Linked DNA regions of Arabidopsis thaliana. The protein of the gene in region 3 purifies or fractionates together with the protein of the main gene of each other region. This does not show direct contact. Each region holds a gene or a part of one and is shown on either strand. Other genes may lie near its edges.

The links. Proteins that work in one complex are often made in the same cells at the same time.
Region 1: the proteins of CAM9 (region 3) and ROC2 purify together in Arabidopsis thaliana (affinity purification with western blotting, with the first as the bait; one study listed by BioGRID). This does not show direct contact.
Region 2: the proteins of CAM9 (region 3) and WRKY53 purify together in Arabidopsis thaliana (affinity purification with western blotting, with the first as the bait; one study listed by BioGRID). This does not show direct contact.

Annotation. Positions count from the first base shown.
Region 1 is NC_003074.8:20,805,921-20,810,671, forward strand, and holds ROC2 (rotamase cyclophilin 2), read right to left. Parts: upstream 2,249-4,751; 5' UTR 2,105-2,248; exon of another isoform or gene 1,932-2,104; intron 1,604-1,931; 5' UTR 1,598-1,603; coding exon 1,067-1,597; 3' UTR 646-1,066; downstream 1-645. Other genes in the region: AT3G56060 (Glucose-methanol-choline (GMC) oxidoreductase family protein), read right to left, coding at 1-63; AT3G56080 (S-adenosyl-L-methionine-dependent methyltransferases superfamily protein), read right to left, coding at 4,606-4,751. UniProt on the Arabidopsis thaliana protein: PPIases accelerate the folding of proteins. It catalyzes the cis-trans isomerization of proline imidic peptide bonds in oligopeptides.
Region 2 is NC_003075.7:12,391,725-12,396,536, forward strand, and holds WRKY53 (WRKY family transcription factor), read right to left. Parts: upstream 2,259-4,812; 5' UTR 2,016-2,258; coding exon 1,612-2,015; intron 1,513-1,611; coding exon 942-1,512; 3' UTR 793-941; coding exon of another isoform or gene 676-792; 3' UTR 646-675; downstream 1-645. Other genes in the region: 3xHMG-box2 (HMG (high mobility group) box protein), read left to right, coding at 84-254, 343-428, 501-585, 676-792. UniProt on the Arabidopsis thaliana protein: Transcription factor. Interacts specifically with the W box (5'-(T)TGAC[CT]-3'), a frequently occurring elicitor-responsive cis-acting element. May regulate the early events of leaf senescence. Negatively regulates the expression of ESR/ESP.
Region 3 is NC_003074.8:19,266,888-19,271,580, forward strand, and holds CAM9 (calmodulin 9), read right to left. Parts: upstream 2,772-4,693; 5' UTR 2,428-2,771; coding exon 2,352-2,427; intron 2,259-2,351; coding exon 2,098-2,258; intron 2,008-2,097; coding exon 1,930-2,007; intron 1,432-1,929; coding exon 1,291-1,431; 3' UTR 1,064-1,290; downstream 1-1,063. UniProt on the Arabidopsis thaliana protein: Potential calcium sensor.

The DNA.
Region 1 (4,751 bases), 1.5 Mb from region 3:
GTCGTGGAAGATGAAAACTGCGACGAGGATAAATTGAAAAAATCGAAAGATATGAAAATTCATTATAGAGGAAGATTATAGGTTTGGTTCTTTATCTATTGGGGCCAAGGAAAAAAAATATGCTATTTATAAACCAACATTTAGAAAAGAAAAAACAAACAGGAACATCTCTCACGGTTGCGGCAAAAGTCTTATTCGATGATAACCTGGCTTCGACCTCTTTATTTTTTCTAGCACATTTAAGTCAACGGATTATAGTATTTTCCATCTTAGACTTTGATTTGTTACATAGTAATAATTATACTTTTAACCCCAGGGTCCTTATTATACAAAGTTTAAGTTTTTTTGTTGTTGTTTTCCAAAAAAATGATGATTTGACCAAATCAAATTATTGTGGTAATTTTGACGAGGTGGTGCAGCATGGCTGGCCACTATGTTGGAATCCAAGTGGTCAAGAAATGTGAATAAAATGGTTTTAAGAAATGTATAAAATAACGAAGCTAATACCAAAGAGTTGGCTAGACTTTAAGTTACATTAATTGCCAAGGCAAACTAGTTGTTGGAGTATTTAAAGAAGACTGTCCAAATATTGTTGGCTATTGACTATTGATGCTGAAACTTAACCATAAGTAGAAACTACTCAAAGAAATGTGTGATGCGTTGGCTAAACAATATTTATCATCACATGATCAGAAAGTTTATCTTGTTCTGCATATGAAGTGAAATCTGCCCAATTCGAAAAGTCAGCAATTTTGGATACATATTCGCAAATGAGTCCTAAGAAGAGTTTGGTTCATTCATATTAACTACACCAAAATAAGAAAGCTACAAAACCAAATGTCTTCATAAAGAAACTAACCATTATTATCATCCATCCTATTCTCACACAAGAGTTTTAAGAAAACAACTTACAAGGATGGACCACTTCCTAAGGTTCATATGATATAGTCAAAACCAAAGTAGTGCATCACAGACTAGATTGACCTTAACGCTAAGATGCTGTCTCTGCTTCACAGCATATGATAGAATAACCTGTCAAGATCAACCCACCCAATGTTTTAAGAACTTATGAACTTGGGTTCTTGAGCTCACCACAATCTTCAATCACAACTCGTTCAGAAGGATTTCCCATGTCAGAGCCAACATCCTCCATTGCCTTGACCACATTGTATCCATCAACAACTTTCCCGAAAACAACATGTTTCCCATCAAGCCACGAAGTCTTCTCTGTGCAGATGAAGAACTGAGAACCATTAGTGTTGGGACCAGAGTTAGCCATAGACAAAATCCCTGGACCAGTGTGCTTCAACTTGAAGTTCTCATCTTCAAATTTAGACCCGTAAATAGATTCTCCTCCAGTTCCATTCCCACGAGTGAAATCTCCACCTTGACACATGAACCCTGGGATTATACGGTGAAAGGCTGAGCCTTTGTAGTGTAAAGCCTTCCCTGCTTTCCCAATACCATTCTCCCCAGTGCACAAAGCACGGAAATTATTAGCTGTTCTCGGAGTCACATCTGCAAATAACTCCATTACAACACGCCCTGCCTTCATCTTACCAATCAAGATGTCGAAGAAGACTTTAGGATTCGCCATTTTACTCTGTCAATTACAAAGATATGAATCAGCAGATGGTCCCAAATTCTAATTGGTATATAAGAGACTAAATCATGCAAACAAAGGTCCCAAATTGTTCAAACAACAACAATTGTGAGATTACCACTCTATGAGCACCTTAAAGTAAACTAGATAAAACCCAAGTGGTACTATTTTCCGATCAATGCAGACGAATAAGGATTCAATTATTCAGATCTGACTCAGATTTTCTCATACAATGTTAAAAATCATAAAACCGATTAATAAATGTCCCATCCATCGAAATTGTCGATAAGAAAAGATAAATTCTTATAACACAGAGATTTATCGAAACCTCAAATGGATGGTTTTAGGATATTGCACAAATATTGAGCTCGCAGGCGTTTTTTATTATACGTTATCTGCAAGCCTTCGATATGTGCTTTTAACGCGATAAAACGCAAAATCGAAGAAATAGAGAAGCAAAAATCATCGAAAACATGAATTGGGTTCACCGAAATGAAGTACCTTTGCAGAGGCAATCTCAAATTCGTCTTCTCAAGGAGCGAGTGAAGGATTTATATAACGGCTCAATGGCACAAGGGCTTTGGGGGCTAGGGTTTTACTAGGGCTTTTGATTGTTTGAGTTGAGACAGAGAGATCTGTTTTCTCGGTTTTGCCCTTTTTTATTTTCTTACCGTCACAGTCTCATCAAAAAGCCCATATGATTCAGGCCCATTATTAAAACTACCATCCAAGAAATATAATCGTTTCGTTGGACTTGGACCCAACAACAAACCCCATTTCACATTGGTTCGTGTGAGCTAATTAAAGCTTTAATAAGCTATCTAATTTCAATCTCGTGTTGCTATCTTAATAAGCTCTTTAACAACATAAATCTCAATGTTTTGAGATTGCTTTCAAAGTTAACTATTTGATGTTCATTACAAGAGACTATATATATATGAACCTAGTTGCTTAGATCTAATTAAATGAGCTTTGGAAAATAAATTACATAGGACACTTGGGCTTTTCGGATGATTTATAATCTTGGCCTTATTATGAATGCTCTAATAAAACAAGAAGAAATGGATTCTCTGGTCGCTTGGACTTGTGTTAGTGGTTTATTAGCAAAGAGAAAGTGTCCAACAACAGAAGTGCAACAGAAGTGCAGAGTCTTTCCGAAAAATCAGATCATAGAACAATGCTTTTGAAGAGATGGTTATTAGGTGGACAAGACTCTACATTATATATTATAATATTCAGATTATCTTTATACTATTAACCACTCCATAATGTTACAAACAACCAATCTTAATGTAAAAAGTGAAAAACTAAATGAGAAGCAATATCAGATATTATAGAGCTAATAAGATTCTTCTTTTTCCTCTCTAACTCTCTTTCTTCAAGACCGATCTCACCCAATGATAAGTGAAATGGGGCGACGATAAGACTTCTTCCTCTCAATATTTACTCTAATGACTTCAGCATCCTTTTGACTTCAGATGTTTATAAGGTGGACAAGAGTCAGCACTAAACAGTATGTAGTATAATATTTGACGTTCAAACTATCTTTATACTACTAATCACTCTACAGTGTTAGAAATAGACAATTTTAATGTAAAACGTGGAAATCATCGATTAGGAAAAACAAATGTTTTCAATTATGGTTGGACTGTTGAGGGTTTCAATTATATTGACCACCAGAGCTAACCAAATATCATTTTCTGATTGACTTCCCTCAGAATATCTTATACTGATTCCTGAATATCTTTTTAAAAGGGCTTTTCGGATGTCATCTTTAATACCAGAAATAGACTTAGGATTCTTTGACCAAAGAGAAATAGTTCAGATGTGTATGCTATAGATTTTTTTGCACAAACTCTGAACCTATCTTTCAATCTAATAGGTTATGATGGAGGTAGATCATTTTATAAAGTGATTTAATCCATGAACCGATTACTCATTTTAACATCTAGTTAATCAAATTTAAATTATTTTTGAAAAATCACAATGGCAATTTTAGTAGTTTATGCTGAAATTCACATAATTATTTTACTTAGATAATAGTATTAATTATCCGGTGATTATCCAAATCACTATTCTGAAATAATGAAATTATATAATGGTCCGGTGATTATCCAAATCGTCATTTCATTAGTTTCATTATTGATTTCATAAAATAACTCAATGTCTTTAATATTATTCGTAAATGTCTCTTTTAATCTTATGTGTTATTTTATATGTCATTTTAAAAAATTGTCAAAACTCTCTAAAATTTTAAATCGTCAAAATCATCTAAATTTTTATCTAAACTCAAATCACTTCAACTCCTTCATCAAATCACTTCACTTCAAATCATTGGAATTTTGCATTGAAACAAAATATAATATTTATTTCCAAAACATATTCATTTGATTTTGGATCTATTTGTTTGAGCCATAGATGGAGAATCTGCTGACGGAAATATATACCCGGCGTCAATGTTGTTCTTGGTATGGATTTCGTTCCATTTATTTGCTTGTTTTAGACAGAGAGATGTTTTCTTCGTTTTGCCCTCTTATTTCACTATTTTACATTTTTGCTTTCAATAACAGTTGTCCAAAAAGAAAAAAAAAAGAAAAAACTTTCAGTAACAGATCAAAAAGCCCATATTAAGATTTAGGCCCATTATATAAACTCCGTCCGCGATTGAATTCAATCGGTTCGTTGGACCCAACAACAAACCCAATTTCAAGTTCGTTTTACTCATACCATGTCTTTTTTTTTTAACTCATACCATGTCTTCTAAAAATCAAAACTAAAACTGAATCAAATGGAAGGAAAAATATTATATTTATACTTCAAACTTTATAGTTAAAAGACACATTATCACAAGAATCTAACGTTTAACTTGATTCCTATAAGGCTATACTTTCCAAACCAAAAAAAAACTTCAAATTAAGAGTATCCGCACCAAAAATCATTGAACAGCCCTAATCAAAACGAAAATGAACAAGATTTGTTAAAGAGAATGATGAATGTTGTGTTTAAGGACGCCAAGAAGATTTCAAGCCAACAAGGAATTTGCCTCTGTACAGATTCGTTGACCATCGGAGTGATAAAAGAATAGGGTTTAGCTTCTTTAGCATTTCGACAGTGTCTTGCACCGCAAGATACCCTCCTGGTCTTAGTA
Region 2 (4,812 bases), on a different chromosome or scaffold from region 3:
GTCTGTTTCCATACAAATATGCTTGCATTTCACTGCCATTAAAGACTTAAGACTGAATGATTGAGGTATTCTTGTTTAAATAGGTGGCAAAGAAGAACAAGGAGACATACCTGCAAGCAATGGAGGAATACAAGAGGACAAAGGAAGAAGAAGCCCTGAGTCAGAAGAAAGAAGAAGAGGAACTCTTGAAACTCCACAAACAAGAAGCTCTTCAAATGCTTAAGAAGAAGGAGAAAACTGATAATCTGATCAAGGTAATAACTCTCTCTCACTCACACTTAACTCACCAAGGTCTATTTCAACTCAGAGACTCACAGGATCATAATTATTTGTCTCTTGCAGAAGGAGAAGGCGACCAAGAAGAAGAAGAACGAAAACGTTGACCCTAACAAACCAAAGAAGCCTGCTTCTTCATACTTTCTCTTCAGGTATGAACTTACTTCAAGTTATAATCCGAATTGGTCTTTATAGAAAGTTCCTAACTTATCATGTTTTTACAGCAAGGACGAAAGGAAGAAATTGACAGAAGAACGTCCCGGGACAAACAACGCTACTGTTACTGCTCTCATTTCACTGAAATGGAAGGTATGAAAAATCACAATTACTAGCAACAAAACACATTGGCTTGTAACAATTTCCTGTTGTTAATCTATCTGTGCGAATACGTCTTTGCAGGAATTGAGTGAAGAAGAGAAGCAAGTTTACAACGGAAAGGCCGCAAAACTGATGGAAGCATACAAAAAGGAAGTGGAAGCTTACAACAAGAAGTCTGCGGCTACTACCAGTAGCTAGATAAATCTCTCTTAGTATTGAAATCATGTTCAAGTCCTGTTGAACATTCCTTATTATGCATCGTTAGATTACTCTAAGTACTTTTATGTTTTAACTCTCGCTGATCATTACTTACTAGTTACTATCTATTTCTCTGTTACAAATTTTAATTAATAATAAATCGACTCGTGTAAAAACGCGGGGAAAGTTGTGTCAATCTCGACCGTTGGATTGAACCAGTCAACAACGTCGAAGATCGGAGAACTCTCCACGTGGCCGAACTCGCCGTTGATAGTTCCGTAATTGTAAAACGGCGGCGTATCAGGGAACGAGAAAACGTCTTTACCATCATCAAGCCCATCGGTTCGAACGGTTAAGTTGGATTTAAGACTCTCGAGAATATCCTTTGGCTTTTGGGTAATGGCTGGTTTGACTCTGGTGTCTTGTCGCTTCTCCGGCGAGGCTAATGGTGGTGTTCTTGTGATCGCCTGCGAACAAGTGTGTGTTCCTCTGTACGTCACTTCGAAAACCGTAGCATCCCCGTCTGATCTCTGGACTTGTTTCGTTGCCCAACAGTTTTGTGTGCTACGATGTGTGCATCTGTAATAACTCCTTGGGAATTTGGCGCCTAAAATGTCTTTTTGACCATATTTTCTCCAGCTAAAGACATCATCTTGAGGTCCTTCTAAGCCTCTCTCTGGGCTTATTCTCACTTTTTCTGACCACTTTGGTAACATCTTTCTGCAAAAATTACCCAAATTTCAAATTAGTTTCTAGAAAAAATGAGATTTTTAAATTCAATTTGGTGAATTGTGAAAAAAGATATCAACAATTTGTTACCTTTTCTTTGAATTGAAAATGTAATCTTGGCGATGATGACTCTCGCTAGAACCTCCTCCATCGGCAAACTCTTCACTTCTCGGACTTCCGTTTATCGATGCCGGAGATTCTGGAACACTGCCGGGATTTGCCACCGGGACTACAGTAACCGGCGTCGGAATAAGTTGTACGCTCGGTGAGGATGACCAGTTTAGCAGAAGAAGAGATCTCTCGTAGGAAGAAACTATCTGCTTCACCAGAATCTCGTTAGTCTCAGCAACAGCCGTCGCCGGTGATGAAAATGATGACGACGGCGACGGAGCTTCTCTAAGTCGTGCCTGAAGCTTTTTGGCCGCATCAAATCCATTGATAAGCTCGCTTAGCAATGTCTTTTGCTCCCAACTTAACATATCTCTTCCTTCCATTTTTAGTATATGATTCCCAAAATAGATTTTTTTTTTCCTTTAGGTAGTTTACTCTAGGAAATTGATACAAACTATGATGAGAAAGATGTATAATGTGTGTTTTAAGTATAAATCAAGAATTGGTTATATAGATGGACTGAAAGAATGATATGATCAGAAAAATATAATGTGTGTTGAGTATAATTAAGAATGGGTTATATAGATTGAAGAATGATATGATGAGAATGAGAGTGTTATAGGATTGGTGATAAAAATGGATGAGTGTTGGTTTGGTATATAAAGGCATTGGATTTTCAGTGTTTGAAAATTTGACCAAATGACCAAACCATAAATAATTATTTTATTTCTTTTTAAAAGAGAGACAAAACTTTCAAATTGAAGAAAAGTCTTTGGTATAAGGAAGTATAGGGCCAGAGTGTAATTGATAAGTGGGGTGGTGGTAGTGAAAGAGTATAAGGTCAAAGGCTGACCAATTCAACATTTCAATTTTGTTAATGTAGTTGTAACCAAGTTTATCATTTATTTAACTATAGTGGGTTAATTATATAATTAGACAACAAAGGGTTATACAACTGTCTCTTTCAATGTACACTTTCAAAACTACGACTTTGTACATGTGATTAAGATTCTCTATTATTATATGTTTTTTTCTACTGTTAAAGAATTTCCAATATATGTTTTTTATTTGATTAAGAATATTTTCAAAATATGTTGGTTGATGCTTTACTAGTATGCATTATGCAACAACCTTTCTATGGATAATATTTCATTGCTATAACTATGAATTGTAATGATGTTTAATATCATTAATAAGGGAAAGGATATTCCACATTCTGTTTTAAGTACAAGTATCAAAACACATATTGGTAATTTGGTATAATACAATTCTTATTAACATTCAATAGATTAGCAATAACATAAAAATTATGTTGAATGAAATTTACTAAGATTTGATTGTTCTAGTTTTAAAATCATACACTTCTAAAAATAAGATATAAAATAAAAATCTGATGAGGATTAATTAATCTGTACAAAATTTCTTCCTAAAAACCCCTATATGTTTTTGTTTTGTGTCAATATATTTAAGCATACATTTGTTCAAGATATAATATTGTATTAACATGAAAAAATATAAATTTGTTTGGCAAAGAAAATAAATAATAGTTGCAGTCTAACAATATAACTAAATAATATTTAAAATGGTAGTTGCTTATACATATATAGTCTGTGAGTGATTATGTGAGCTATGTCAAGTTGTTAACTGTTTCTAAATAAGAAATATTAAACTCGAGAGGGGAAAATAATACAAATGGGTTTAATTTGGACAAATATATATGATATGTTCCATAAGAATATAATCTACAAAGTTATGTGATAATACACCAAGAGTATGACAAGGTTTTTGCTGACCAAGTCACCATGGAATTATCTCAAATAGTCATATAGGTGTGTGAATAAATATTTATTTATGGTTGAGACAAATGGCCATTAATTTGGACAAAATTTATTTATACATAATGATTGATATGTTCCAAAGAGAAAAGTAGAAAAAACCAGTCACTGTGTGATACGATATATACAATACAACAAGAGTATGATAAGGTCTTTGCTGACTAAGTCCAACATCAAGCTATCTAAAGTAGTCAGATCGATAGATGCATTCCATTCCAACATTCATTTCTTATGATTAATCCTTTTTAACTTTGTATGTCATCAAATATTATTCAATTGTAATTTGGACCTCTCATACGTAAGAAATAACCTTTGTAATAATTGAACCGTTATCCAAAAAGTTACAGCAAAAATCTCATAGCTGAAGTTGACACACACGAGTGTAGTGTACAGGACCAATAACCACTAAAAGGTTTATGAACCATATTTACCGTTTTACTAATGAAATGGTTACTTTTTTAAATTTGTTTTGGGTCAAAACTCACTCATGGGAATGGGATTACCAAAATCGTTTTCGATAGATTTGATTTGCGCAAAGTATAGTGTAGAAATAATTTGTTTTTTGGGTCGATATTCATAACATACATTTATTTATGTAATTTTACTTCAACGTAGGCCTTTTACAAAAGGAAAAAAAATCACTTCAACGTAGAAAAAACGTAATTCCAAAAAACAGATTTGTTGATTAATAAAAAGCAAGAAAAATCAAAAAGAAAATCAATATTCAAAAGGACAGGATTGGACCGAAGACATTTCAAACCTCTCTCCGCGTGGATTTTCCCTTTTATCATTCTTTTTTGTTTTCTAGTTTTAGTACTCCAAATGATATTTTAATTTTTATAATGGCGTCACTCTCTTTTGCGTCATTCATTCATTGTATTATTATTATTATTTGGATCTCATTCATCATTCATCCTTATAAAATGAATCTTGGCACTTTGCACCCTAAATTTGTATTTACACTTCATAGAATCAGCTGAAATTATGTAATTTGACATATTTGCATCCAAAACATAACTCTTGAAATCTTTGAATCAGCTCACAAGATAATGACGTAAGTTGACATATTATTTCTGCATTGCTTCATTACAAAACCAAGAAGATTTTTTTTGTATGATCTGTAAACTTTACGGCATTAAGTATCGCATTTATTTCTAATTACGCAACAGTATTTTGTGTGTGTGTGTCAACGCTGCACAGTATTTTTAGTAGAATGAAAAAAAAATATAATTTGCTATGCCAAATATCAGTAGCCAATTGGACTCGCTAAAAACAGCAATAAATTAGTAAAGTAGGAAAATGCCAAACAATTTAAAAAAAACTCATGTACGGAAAAACATTGCTT
Region 3 (4,693 bases):
CTTTGTCTGCTTCACTCTTTTTTGCCCTAAACCCTTTTTCCAAATGTGATCTCTCTTTTTCACATCATTTAATGCTATTAAGGAGTTTTGGCTTATTTGGGTCAGTGTTAAGACAAGTCCACATGAGTGAGCAATCATCCATGTCCGTGATTCTAACCTGTAACAGTGTTAATTTAGTGGAATCATGTAATATGGTTTACTCTCTCCGGTCAAAATTCTGATCTCTAGTCTTCAAGAAAATAACTTTAAAATGAGAGCAAAGACAACTATGAGCAAGAAGATTGCTACAAAGATCAAGAATCCACAAGATGGTGGAATGTCTCATGACAAAGAAGAGGAAAACTCTTTAGCAGTGATTAGCTGTTCTGTTTTCTGATCTAAAGTTTCTTCTACAGCAGCTAGTTGTTGATTGACAAAAAAAAAATCTAATCAATCTCCTATCTCCTTCCTATGTTGCCATCGCCTTGTTTGCATGGCTGGACTGTAGAAACTTTTCCACGGAAACAAAGCTATAATCAATGTAAAGATTCTTGCTCAATCAGTCGTAAGGGTTTTAGAATGGAGTTCAACCAAAGCCTTATCTTTTTTAGACACTACTAAAACGAATATTGCAAGTACTAAATTGCTCTACTCAATGTAAATATACTATCTCAGCTTCTAGGTCATTTTGTGTCCACTGTGATGAAGAAACATGAATCGAGAGACAGATCTCAATATGAGTGAAAGTGACAAGCATCAAGAACATCATAAATTTCTACAACAACCGTCGGCAGACAAAAAAGCAAAGCTACTTAACCTTCAATGATGGGGACTTGAATTGGAATTTGGAACAAACAATTTATAGCAAAGCTGATAGGTTATAAACAAATTCGACAGTTCAACAGATTTTCTCACCATTTACTTATTAAAAAACCACTGATTTTTGGTTCTTCAGACTGCTTCTTCATTAGGGTTTTGCAAGGATTGAAGATGGAAGTTAAGGATCGACCACCAGTTCAATTGTGGCACGCTACCGTCGAGTGACCGAGTCAGATAATTACTCTCGGTTTAGTTCGGTTTGGATTTTCCGGTTTAAAAAACATATGTTTAAAACAGAACAATACTTTTGGTTTGGTTTGGTTTGGTTCGAATTTTGGATAGGAAAAATATTATAGTTTTTTATCGACCGAAAAAAATCATTGATTCAGTAACACACACTTTAATTATATGTTGGGAAAATATAGTAACATATTGAAATATAGTTGTAATTGTGCAAAAACAAACTCTTAAATCATGGCATTTCACAAAATGCTAATAAGAGGCAGCAATCATCATTTTAGAGAATTCGTGGAAAGAAAGAAAACCATCGCCATCAAGGTCGGCTTCTCGGACCATATGCTCCGCTTCTTCTGCTGTTATCTTCATCCCCATGTCCTTCATTCCTTCTCCCAACTGCATTTCGTTTATAGAAATTAGGAGAAATGGCTAAATAAACTATAGTTAAGACTTAAGAGTTAAGAGAATGGCTTATATTATAAAAGTAAGCTAATAACCATTTGACCAAGTTAAATGACCAATCTTTTTTGCATTATTTTTGAATATAAATCTTTTTAATTCAGATAACGAAGTATTTTTCAAGTAGTATGTGACTATGTGTCTCTCGATTGTTGTGTTGTCGCCGTGTCGGTTTGAGAAAAAAAAAACAAGACCATATGAGCAATGGAGTTTCTTATGGCGACAAAAATTTGTGTTGTAATGAGTGAATGATAGTAGATTATAAAGATAATAATAACAAGGTCTTCAAAAAAGTAACATTTAGTAATTTCTCTTCTTTCGTTATATCCATCTACATGATCACTTAATCTTATTATATATGTATGTAACTCGTTTTTTATTGTTTCCATGTCAGGACAATGTACTATTTGGTAAATAGTTAGACAATTTATTTACCTCAAGTTGAGATATGAGACCATCTCCGTCTCTGTCGAACACTCTGAATACCTCAATTAACTCATCCGATGCTGATTCCTACAACCAATTTTTTCATTATTAACTTTTCTCTACAATTATCAATCTTTACTATAACTAAACGGTTTTAAGTGTGTATATATATTTTACCTGAGAAGTGTTTTGAGCCATAATATACAAGAAATCATCAAAAGTGATGCCACCGTTGCCAAAGATGTCAACATCGCTCATCATCTGTTGCAGTTGTTCCGCCTTTGGATTCTTCCCCATCGACTTCATCACTTTCGTTAGCTTCTCCTTCGTGATGAACCCTGTTTCACATGCATCATAACATCATCAAACCGATCGATTCTGAATAAATTTGTGTATCAAATCGAACAAGAAAGAGAGAGAACAAAGCAGACCATCGGAATCTTTGTCTATGAGACAGAAGGCTTCGTAAAACTCTTGGATCTGTTCATCTGTGAAAGCATCCGCCATATCTTCGATCACAAAGAAAAGTCAAAGTCTGTCTTTGATTCAATCTGATGATCAGCTTCTCTTAATTTGTTAGTGATGAGAGAAGAAGAAGGGAGCATCTATCACATTTAAGTACACATCACCTCTTGGCTCTAGGCTCTTGCCCGGTCAAGGTCAATACTCATGACCTTGCGTTTTCATTAGTTGTGATATTTTTTCTTGAGCACGATTCCAGGTCACGCGTCTTTGTTCAAACTTATGACTTCAACGCTTATTTTTCTTTATTTTCATAGTTATTAGAAAAAATACTTATAGGGAATTAAATTAGGATCTTGATTATTGCGAAAAGAAAGGGTGGAGTAATGCTCGGGTTTGAGGACTCAAGAATTAAAAGTCGTACACCAAGTTGCATTTTAAGAAATAATTGATGTACGCGTGTCTCTAATGTAACCCTTGATTTTGATTTTCCATTATTTAGTGTCCTAACAACTTCTGTCAAGAATTCCATTCAGTAACTTTGAAAAGTTATATGTCTTGTTACCATAAAAAGCGAAACATATCTTAGAAGTGGGTTTTTTTTAATACCAAATGGGATTTAAAAGGTAATCAATATGAAAAAAACGGACTGACCATAAACATTTTTCTTCTTGTACAAACATGTCTCTCCAAAGCAATGCAGATAAGAGATTTGTTAGAGATGTTGTGTTCTAATTCTAACTCCTACTTTTATTCACGTTATGATGAGAAGTTGAGAACGAAACATTGTAATGTGAATAAAGGCTTAATCTGATAAATATTGTGGGGTCTCTTATGTTTATGTCCATCCAATATTAGTGGCTTACGGCTAAGAAAAATATGAAAATATATTGTAGTGTTCTATACTTCCATTCGATCTGTTTTCCACTTTTGAATGATTCAAAAAGTCTGGATAACCATAAGTTTACAAATTTAAACAAATATTAAAATACTGTTAAAAACAAAACAAATCACTAATACTACAAATTAGAATTTCGGATAGATGTTTCATTCTACAATCGGAGAATAGACTAGTTCAAAAGCGGATACATATTAAAAGATTATCGATCCAACAAACCAAATTCGATGCAAATATATTAAAAACAATATCCGCTTTGTGCCTACCTACCCTGTCCCATACGGTCATAATTAAGAATTGAGGCTAAGTAGTATTAACTGCAAAAATGTTCCGCACTAGTCACACTACTTTGGTCGTAAGCTTACTAAAGAGGGAGATGCCGTGTTATATATCCTTAATTGGATGTTAGTTGGTGGCGTTATCTGTTTTGGTATCTAGAGATCTATGCCTCATTTAGATCTTCTTCTCTTATCATAGTGTATTTCTCATTTACAAACAACCAAACAAATTAAGAAATAAGATATGGGTAAGTAAGATCATAAACGTTAATGTTTGATTTGGTATGTATGATACGATTCAGAATCAGACTCACGCGAATTTACGCTCCCACTACGCTTTACTTAGCGGAGATCGGATTCGGATCTCTCATTTGATTACATTTTCAGCTAATTTTGTTTTTTATTGTTGTTAACTTAACTTTCATTTCATCACACTAGTCTTTGTTTGATGTAAAACAGATATCTTGATTCCCGTATTAGATGGCAGAGCTCCCTTATTTTTGTCTTCTCCCACCAATATTATACTATGTTCAAAAAATAAAATAAAAACATAATATACATAAGGGACGATCACTACAAATAAGCATGCATCAATCGATGTAAATATATCCATTTGGGAATATTATTTGAGAATCTAACTCGTAGTCGTAATTATAATATGTAACGATGCTACCAACTAATTAAATAAGTATTTTGAGGTTAAACAATGTTTTTCGGTTTAGCTTATTTAAGTCATCCAAGTATAATAACATAAGTTTGTTGACAAAAAAAAAACAGTATTTTGAGGTTTACTCATTACTACCAACTCATTCGCATTTTGTCGTAACTAATTTGGTATATCGTATACTTGAAAAATACATATATCTATATCTTGATTTTCATAATCCTTAACGTTACAGTATCCACATATGGTCCAATTAACATCACTGGTCAAACAAGAGAACAATGATCAATCCGTTACTATGATATGCACACATTAAATTTAAGGCTCCTGAAGTGGTTTCATATATTATAAGATTCCATGAGCCATATATCACGAATTAATGAAAATGCGCAAATGATAAGCAAAAGGCAAAAAAAGGAGGCTACGCCACCTGTCAATGTAGCCGTTGCACCTTCTCCTCCTTTTTAAAAA